2 linked regions of the Oryzias latipes genome follow. The protein of the gene in region 1 purifies or fractionates together with the protein of each later gene. This does not show direct contact. Links are inferred from orthologs where the notes say so. Each region holds a gene or a part of one and is shown in the gene's direction. Other genes may lie near its edges. The genes, in order: rpl7l1 and rexo4.

Region 1 (4,415 bases):
AGTGTGGGGAAATACATATGAAACTAATATAATGTCCTTAATTCTATTACAGAAGAGAGCTACTATTGTTCATAAAGCTAATTTTAGAGATCACACAAATGAACTTTTCATTAAGTCAGGTTTATAACAACTTAAAAACATAATTGAATTGCAGACCTTATTAGTTATATTTAAAGCCAGAAACAGAGATTTACCAGAAGACTCATAAAAGCTTTTTATTTTTACCACAGGAGATGAAAATCATAGGAGAAAATTTGATTTCAAACAACAGATTGCTGGAACAACATTAAAGCAAAAGTGTTTGTCTATAGCAGAGGTAAAAATGTGGAATTCCCAGGAGAATCAGTTAAAACGTGGTCAAAATATTATTCAAGTTAAACGGATGTATAAAGCTAAACAAATTAGTTTGTACAAACTTGACTGTTGAATGGAATGTTTGGAATGTATGAATTAAATGAATGGAATGTATTTACTGTGTAGTGTTTAAACTGTACATTGTGAAATCTGAGCACAGGTGATGGTGAGAGAAATGTAAATATGATGTTTAAAAGGGAGCAGATAATTATAAGAATTGTGTTCTTCAATTCTGCTCCCTTCTAATCATGAAAATGTTCAATATGTAAGAGAAACATGTAAATATTTGAACATCAATTTTCATGAATAAATAAATGAATGAAAAATGAAAATGAAAAAACCCAAATCCGTCCAGACAGGCAAAGGGAATGATATCCCAGAATCCCTTGCGGTGCCGATCTAACAGCAGCACCAAAGTTACACCTACTTAATTGAATTAATTTGAACGAAAGGAAAATAATTGTCTAAAAAACTATGTGTTATTTTTAAGGTGACCTAACAAAAAATGGTTTATCTTAACTGAAGCAAATAATTAAGTTAGATCAAAGTAAAAGTTTCTCTTTCCAACATCCATTTGTGGTCTTATCACCCTCTCATGGTGGAAAAAGTATTATCTGAGCTTCTTCATCCACTAAATCATCTTCAAATGGACACGCCATGCTGCTTCACCTCTCTGAAAACAAACTAACCTTCAACTAAACCTGCTCCAGACCAGGTTATGTTCAGAGCATGAGTTGCCATGGTAACTTGATCTACCCTGAAACATACCTCCATTTCTGGAACTGAAAGCTGAGGTTATCCACTTCCTTAGCCTCAAACTTATCGTGGGAGCTAGCAGAACCTGCCTTCTGGAATACCCCCCAGGATTGGTTACACCTGGCTAAATGAATCCGTGTCTGCTCATCCTGGCTTGGTCTTTGTGCAACCAATTAAGCCTGGAAGCACATCTTTTGGCTTCATTGAGCTCAGCTCAGTCATTTATCCCGGATGTCTTAATTCTAATTTTGTGCAACAGGCCTCTGGTTATTGAGGAGAATCTAAGGGTGTTTTTGTTTTGTTTTTTTCCGGTATGGTTGGTAGGTAGTCCCCACTCTGACCCACACTCCAACGCAGTAGGTGGCGGTAATGCACCTTTACGCTGGTGCCTCCCGCCAATAAAAGCACAAGAAGAAGAGTGAGCCGGAAGGAGACGAGCGGAATCATGGCTGAACCGGAGTGAGTGTTTTGGTCTTTCATCCTCGTCCATCCTCGGTCTGTGTCCGTCTAATGGTCCGTGTGACCGCGGTATCAGCCAGCCGGCTTTCATTGAGGGGGGGGGGGGGGTCCGTTCACGATCCTCCATTACGGAGCTCAAATGAATTTTATAAGGGTTTCCAAAACCCCGCACGGGGACAGCTGTTTCGGTGCCAAAAACACGCATCTGTGACATTTTTATGCTGAAGGTCGATCAGCTGTTTGAGCGGAAACACAAACGTCTGCTGTCCTGCTGCTGCAGGTCCCAGAAGGTCATCAAGCTGGTCCCAGAGTTCCTCCTGAAGAAGAGGAAAGCCTATCAGGCCATCAAAGCCACCCAGGCCAAGCTCGCACTGCTGGAGAAGAGGAAGGTGGGTAATGTAGTCCTGTTGGCCTGGACTACAAACAAGGGGCCCGTCCTGTAACATTTCTCTTCAGGTCGCTAGAGGGAAGCCACTAAACTTCAAGCGTCTGGAGGATTTCCTGAAGGATGGACACATCAAGCACCGAGACGAGACCCGGATCCGGAGATCCAAACACCGGCCGGCGCCTGCTCTGCCCCCGGCGGGGAACAAGTTGGCCTTTGCCGTCCGCATCAGAGAGTGAGTGGACCTGCACCTCCTCCACAGTGGAACGTCAGGTTAAACGCAGAGGAACGTCAGGTTATGCACAGAGGAACGTCAGGTTATGCACAGAGGAACGTCAGGTTATGCACAGAAGAACGTCAGGTTATGCACAGAGGAACGTCAGGTTATGCACAGAGGAACGTCAGGTTATGCACAGAGGAACGTCAGGTTATCCACAGAGGATCGTCAGGTTATCCACAGTGGAAGGTCAGGTTATCCACAGTGGAAGGTCAGGTTATCCACAGTGGAAGGTCAGGTTATCCACAGAGGAACGTCAGGTTATCCACAGAGGAACGTCAGGTTATCCACAGTGGAAGGTCAGGTTATGCACAGAGGAATGTCAGGTTATCCACAGAGGAACGTCAGGTTATCCACAGAGGAACGTCAGGTTATCCACAGTGGAAGGTCAGGTTATGCACAGAGGAATGTCAGGTTATCCACAGAGGAACGTCAGGTTATCCACAGAGGAACGTCAGGTTATCCACAGTGGAAGGTCAGGTTATGCACAGAGGAACGTCAGGTTATGCACAGAAGAACGTCAGGTTATGCACAGAGGAACGTCAGGTTATGCACAGAGGAACGTCAGGTTATGCACAGAGGAACGTCAGGTTATGCACAGAAGAACGTCAGGTTATGCACAGAGGAACGTCAGGTTATGCACAGAGGAACGTCAGGTTATGCACAGAGGAACGTCAGGTTATGCACAGAAGAACGTCAGGTTATGCACAGAGGAACGTCAGGTTAAACGCAGAGGAACGTCAGGTTATGCACAGAGGAACGTCAGGTTATGCACAGAAGAACGTCAGGTTATGCACAGAGGAACGTCAGGTTATGCACAGAGGAATGTCAGGTTATGCACAGAGGAACGTCAGGTTAAACGCAGAGGAACGTCAGGTTATGCACAGAGGAACGTCAGGTTATGCACAGAGGAACGTCAGGTTATGCACAGAGGAACGTCAGGTTATCCACAGAGGAACGTCAGGTTATCCACAGAGGAACGTCAGGTTATCCACAGAGGAACGTCAGGTTATGCACAGAGGAACGTCAGGTTATGCACAGAGGAACGTCAGGTTAAACGCAGAGGAACGTCAGGTTATGCACAGAGGAACGTCAGGTTATGCACAGAGGAACGTCAGGTTAAACGCAGAGGAACGTCAGGTTATGCACAGAGGATCGTCAGGTTATCCACAGAGGATCGTCAGGTTATCCACAGAGGAACGTCAGGTTATCCACAGAGGAACGTCAGGTTATCCACAGAGGAAGGTTAGGTTATCCACAGTGGAAGGTCAGGTTAAACGCAGAGGAACGTCAGGTTATGCACAGAGGAACGTCAGGTTAAACGCAGAGGAACGTCAGGTTATGCACAGAGGAACGTCAGGTTATGCACAGAGGAACGTCAGGTTATCCACAGAGGAACGTCAGGTTATCCACAGAGGAACGTCAGGTTATGCACAGAGGAACGTCAGGTTATGCACAGAGGAAGGTTAGGTTATCCACAGAGGAACGTCAGGTTATCCACAGTGGAAGGTCAGGTTATCCACAGTGGAAGGTCAGGTTATCCACAGAGGAACGTCAGGTTATCCACAGAGGAACGTCAGGTTATCCACAGAGGAACGTCAGGTTATCCACAGTGGAAGGTCAGGTTAAACGCAGAGGAACGTCAGGTTATGCACAGAGGAACGTCAGGTTAAACGCAGAGGAACGTCAGGTTATGCACAGAGGAACGTCAGGTTATGCACAGAGGAACGTCAGGTTATCCACAGAGGAACGTCAGGTTATCCACAGTGGAAGGTCAGGTTAAACGCAGAGGAACGTCAGGTTATGCACAGAGGAACGTCAGGTTAAACGCAGAGGAACGTCAGGTTATGCACAGAGGAACGTCAGGTTATGCACAGAGGAACGTCAGGTTATGCACAGGACGTTATGCACAGAGGAACGTCAGGTTATGCACAGAGGAACGTCAGGTTATGCACAGAGGAACGTCAGGTTATGCACAGAGGAACGTCAGGTTATGCACAGAGGAACGTCAGGTTATGCACAGAGGAACGTCAGGTTATGCACAGAGGAACGTCAGGTTATGCACAGAGGAACGTCAGGTTATGCACAGAGGAACGTCAGGTTATCCACAGTGGAAGGTCAGGTTATCCACAGAGGAACGTCAGGTTATCCACAGAGGAACGTCAGGTTATCCACAGTGGAAGG
Region 2 (4,324 bases), on another chromosome or scaffold:
TCCAAATTGAAATCTTTTTAGAATTATTGGGATTATTAGAAGAATTTTCTTTTAAATGAGAAAAAGACAATCCAATTTAAAAGTTAAACAAGACTTCTTCATTTGGCTTAATACAATTTTGCCGACTTATTAAATTGTGTAGTTTTAAGCCTAAATATGAACATAACAGGCCTATTAAAAAAATCCTACTTTTTACCCAAAACAACAACAACACACAACTAGCGTTTTAAAGTAATTTACAATATTTAAGTCACTACCATCCTGCCATCTTTCAGCTGAATTTTTAAAAATATATATAAACACAATAACCTTTTACTAATGTATACCTTGAGATATAAATAACTTAAAAAAAACTAATTATTGAAAGAATTCTATTGAGAAAAAAATCCAAAAAGGCTTGTTTTTTTTAAGTGAAGTCACATTGAATTAATGGCAGTCTGTTTTTCAGGTGGTCAACTATTTATCACCCTAGTAGTAAGGAGATTTAAATCTCCACCGAGAAACGGTTATTCTATTTTAACTCAAGTGAGTCGTCCTGCACATTTACAAATTTCAATGAGATTAGATTTATGGCAACATAAACAAAAGGAACAGAATGTCTTTGCTATATTACCAAGAGCCGTAGAGATAAGTAATTCCACAACATTTTACGTTGAATGACATCTTCTGCAAATAGAACTATGCTTCTAATTTGAAAGAACATGATGTGATGGGACTTAACTTACAGAAGCCAAACTGGGAGCCAAGGAAGAGAACAAACCCATAGATTGCTCTCTCTGGCATAGGTGATGGGGAGTTTTCAACCATGATCTGAAACCAGAACACAAACAGACCATCTATTGGGTAAAATAATCGAAAATAAACAATGACAAAAAGTCACTAAACTTACCGACAGATAATAAGTGTATTTTGGTTCGTAAGAAGAGCAGCAAGTTTACAAAAACCCCTAAAAACAGTTTAAATGTTTCTCAAATAGCTTGTTTATATCGTACCATCAGCTAGGTTCAACGATAGATAAAATCCAATTCTACTATTTCAAACGAAACATAAATAAAAATGTAAAAAGTGCATCTAATCATATTACGCCAAAACCTAGCTGACTGCTGTCAACAAAACGTTAGTCCATCACCTAAATGAGTTCGGTCAGAAACTGTACATCAGGAACAAAAGACTTTAAAGAAATAAAGCAAAATTACATATCAATCTTGTGTTCTTTGTTAGTAATGTATAGATATTAAAAACTATTTTCAAGCTTGAAAAAAGAAAGAAATAAAAAAATCAACGAAGGGAGAACTTTCTGCCGCTCGAACGAATCATGTTACTTTTTTCCTGACGAACATATTTGACTGTTACTCATTCCAGAAGCACCGCAGCATGGCTTCGTGAATGTGAAGGTAAACAACTTGAAACATAATTTTTCCCTGTTTGGGAGGATAATAAAGTGGCTATTTTTGCTAATAGAAACAGTGTGTGCCCTTTATCTGGGATACATATGTATGTGACACAGCGTTAACTGTTTTCGTTTACATCTCACCTAAAATTGGCTTCTTTCAAAAACGTGGCTGTGTAACACAGCAAATACTCCCTGAAGTTTAAAGAAGTGCGACCACGATGTCTAAAATCAAAGGAAAGGAAACTCCTGCTGGAAAAACGCAACAGCTGACGTCCAAAGAAAAAAGGAAGAAGTTTTTTATAAAGCATAATCGTAAAAAACAAACTTCCCAAAAGACTCTAAACAAGAAAAATCTAGAAAATCCTGGAGCAAAGCAAACTGCACCACCACAGGATCCCCAACAGTTTTCTTCCAACTGGAAAGCATTACAAGAGGTTTGTCTGACGAATATTAAACTCTATGCTCTTCATAAGCTGTGCAACTACTTATGTGAAAATGTATTTACTTTTAAAATGTAATTATCTTCTTTGTTTCCTGAACATGGCAGATCTTAAAGAGCAGTCAGCCAGAGAAGAAGCAGCCTGTTACACCAAAACATCGGAATGGTGTCTTCCCTAAGAAGTTTAAAGGAAATGAGCCTAAAAAGTTTCAAAATAAGAGCCCTGCTCCCAGCCAGGTGCACACAGACAGAGAGGGAAAAGTCAAAAGTGGCGATGCCCCAAAGGAGGATGGGGTGAAGGCAAAGATCCACGCCGCCTTAGACAAACTGCAACCTGGTGGTGCAAGGAAAAGGCAAAACGAAAAGACAGACAATGAGAAACCAGCCAAGAAAAAGAAGCCCGTCACTGAAGAGAGGAAACCCACAGAGTATGTATCCTTATTGCTAATACTTGACTTCAGTTCGGGTTTGCCTTGTAATCTTTGCTTGTGCTGCTGTAGGGAGGACCTTTGGTTTGATGACGTCGACCCTGACGATATTGAGGAAACGATGGGAGCCGAGGCTGCAGAGATCATGAGGAGGAAACAAGGCATGAAAACAAGCAAGAACGTAGATAGCGTTCTGGTAAAAGAGAACGCCTTTGATGGGTAAGAGAAACTGTTTTGTGTTCTTACGGTCAAAATGCCACACCTTCATTTGCTATCGATCAACTCTAGTTGAAATTCACCTTTCTTTATAGAGCTCTTTTCCTGTTAAAAAACACCTCAAAGTCTTTTACATAAATAAATAATAATTATATTAGTATTTATAATAAACACATGTTGTGTACAAAAACTAGCAGGAAAAAATAATCCATAAAATCAAATTAAAACATGAGGAAATGTAAAATCGACATAAAAGCTAAACTAAAAAGGTGAGTTTAGGCCAAAGTTCTGCCATGTGGCCTCGCTGTGGGTTTTTGTTTATGACCTCAGGGAGCACCAGCATAACTGGATCTGAGGGCTCTGGGAGGGTCGTCTGCTAACACCAGCTTGATTAAAATTAAAGTGCAATTTCATTAAACTAAGAAAAGTACCTTAAAATCGATCCTAAAGCTGACAGAGAACCAGATATTTCAAATTTGGAGTCCTTCTTTTTGTCCTGATATTTTTTGATAATTTTTGCTCAACAATCATTATTATAGTATATTGTTTTAATCTCATCTGCTGCTCTTCTTCATCATTGTTTTCTTGGTCGGATGTGTAAAAGTGTTGAAAAAGTCCATTCCTAGCAACTCTTTAATCTAGTGGGATACTTCCCGTGTGTGTTGCTCTCTTTGGGCATAAGTATGAGTCTTAAAATCGTCGGATTGTTTCGCAATTGCTTCCTGATGAATATGCAGCCATAGCTGTTGCAGAGTTTATGCTCATCTCAACCTGCAGCAGACTGGCTCCAACAGACTCCCTAAGTGGAAGTAGTTGGAAAAACAGCCGTTGCCTTTTTAAACAAGTTTTTGAAAAAATCGGTATAGTTGTCAGTTATACCCCAATAACATCAGATGTTCTCTTACTTCTCTCAAAAGAGAAAATGATTTAATAATGTTTCAGGTGATTTCTGTGGAGAAACTTTAAAACGGGCAGCAGAAAGACTGGACTGTTTCATTAGATGACCTTTTGTTTTCTCCACGTTTGTACGTATGAATATCAGCATCACCAAAGCTGTAGCTATTGATTGTGAGATGGTGGGAGTCGGTCCAGATGGGGAGGACAGCATCCTGGCACGTGTGTCCATCGTGAACCAGTTTGGAAAATGCATCTATGACAAATATGTCAAACCCACAGAGAAGGTGACAGACTACAGAACAGCTGTCAGTGGGATCCGACCGGAACACATTAAAAATGGTAAGAAAACGAGACATCACTGTATACTTAGATGTTTATTGCTTTCAAACAATCCTCTGTGCTTTTGAACAGTGTCAAAATGTGATTTTTTTTTTTTTACAGGGGAGGATGTGCATGTTGTGCAAAAGGAGGTGGCTGAAATTCTGCAAGGAAGAATTGTGGTTGGTCATGCAATTCACAATGACTTAAAGGTATTGTGTTGCCTTAAAATAAATGTGTGCTCCAATAAAACAGCTGTAGCTCTCCTCTTACAGAGTCTGTCAACTGTTTCAGATTCTTCTCTTGGATCATCCAAAGAAGCACATTCGGGACACTCAGAAGTATAAACCCTTTCGGAAGACTGTAGGGGTAATTATAGAAAGTTCTTTTGTTTTTACTGAGACTTACTGGTAGATCGTCTGTGGAAGGTTCCAGACCTCATCTTAATAAGAACAAGTTTATAAATGATTTTATATTTTAGAGCGGCCGACCTTCGTTGAAACTCCTCTGCAGAGAAATCCTGCATGTGAAGGTGCAGCAGGGAGAACACTCTTCTGTAAGTTGGAAATAAAATACATCATTTTTCTTATTCTGATAATGATAAGAGATTGAAAAAAACAAAAACAAACATTT

What was found.
Region 2: the proteins of rpl7l1 (region 1) and rexo4 purify together in Homo sapiens (affinity purification with mass spectrometry; 3 studies listed by BioGRID and IntAct, with this or other methods). This does not show direct contact. The link is inferred for Oryzias latipes from reciprocal best matches to the Homo sapiens genes RPL7L1 and REXO4.

Annotation. Positions count from the first base shown.
Region 1 is NC_019882.2:435,954-440,368, reverse strand, and holds the start of rpl7l1 (60S ribosomal protein L7-like 1), read left to right. Parts: upstream 1-1,434; 5' UTR 1,435-1,555; coding exon 1,556-1,569; intron 1,570-1,849; coding exon 1,850-1,958; intron 1,959-2,025; coding exon 2,026-2,189; intron 2,190-4,415.
Region 2 is NC_019877.2:8,249,301-8,253,624, forward strand, and holds the start of rexo4 (RNA exonuclease 4), read left to right. Parts: upstream 1-1,339; 5' UTR 1,340-1,611; coding exon 1,612-1,827; intron 1,828-1,940; coding exon 1,941-2,260; intron 2,261-2,332; coding exon 2,333-2,479; intron 2,480-3,518; coding exon 3,519-3,712; intron 3,713-3,814; coding exon 3,815-3,903; intron 3,904-3,985; coding exon 3,986-4,060; intron 4,061-4,172; coding exon 4,173-4,247; intron 4,248-4,324. Other genes in the region: pigp (phosphatidylinositol N-acetylglucosaminyltransferase subunit P), read right to left, coding at 726-807.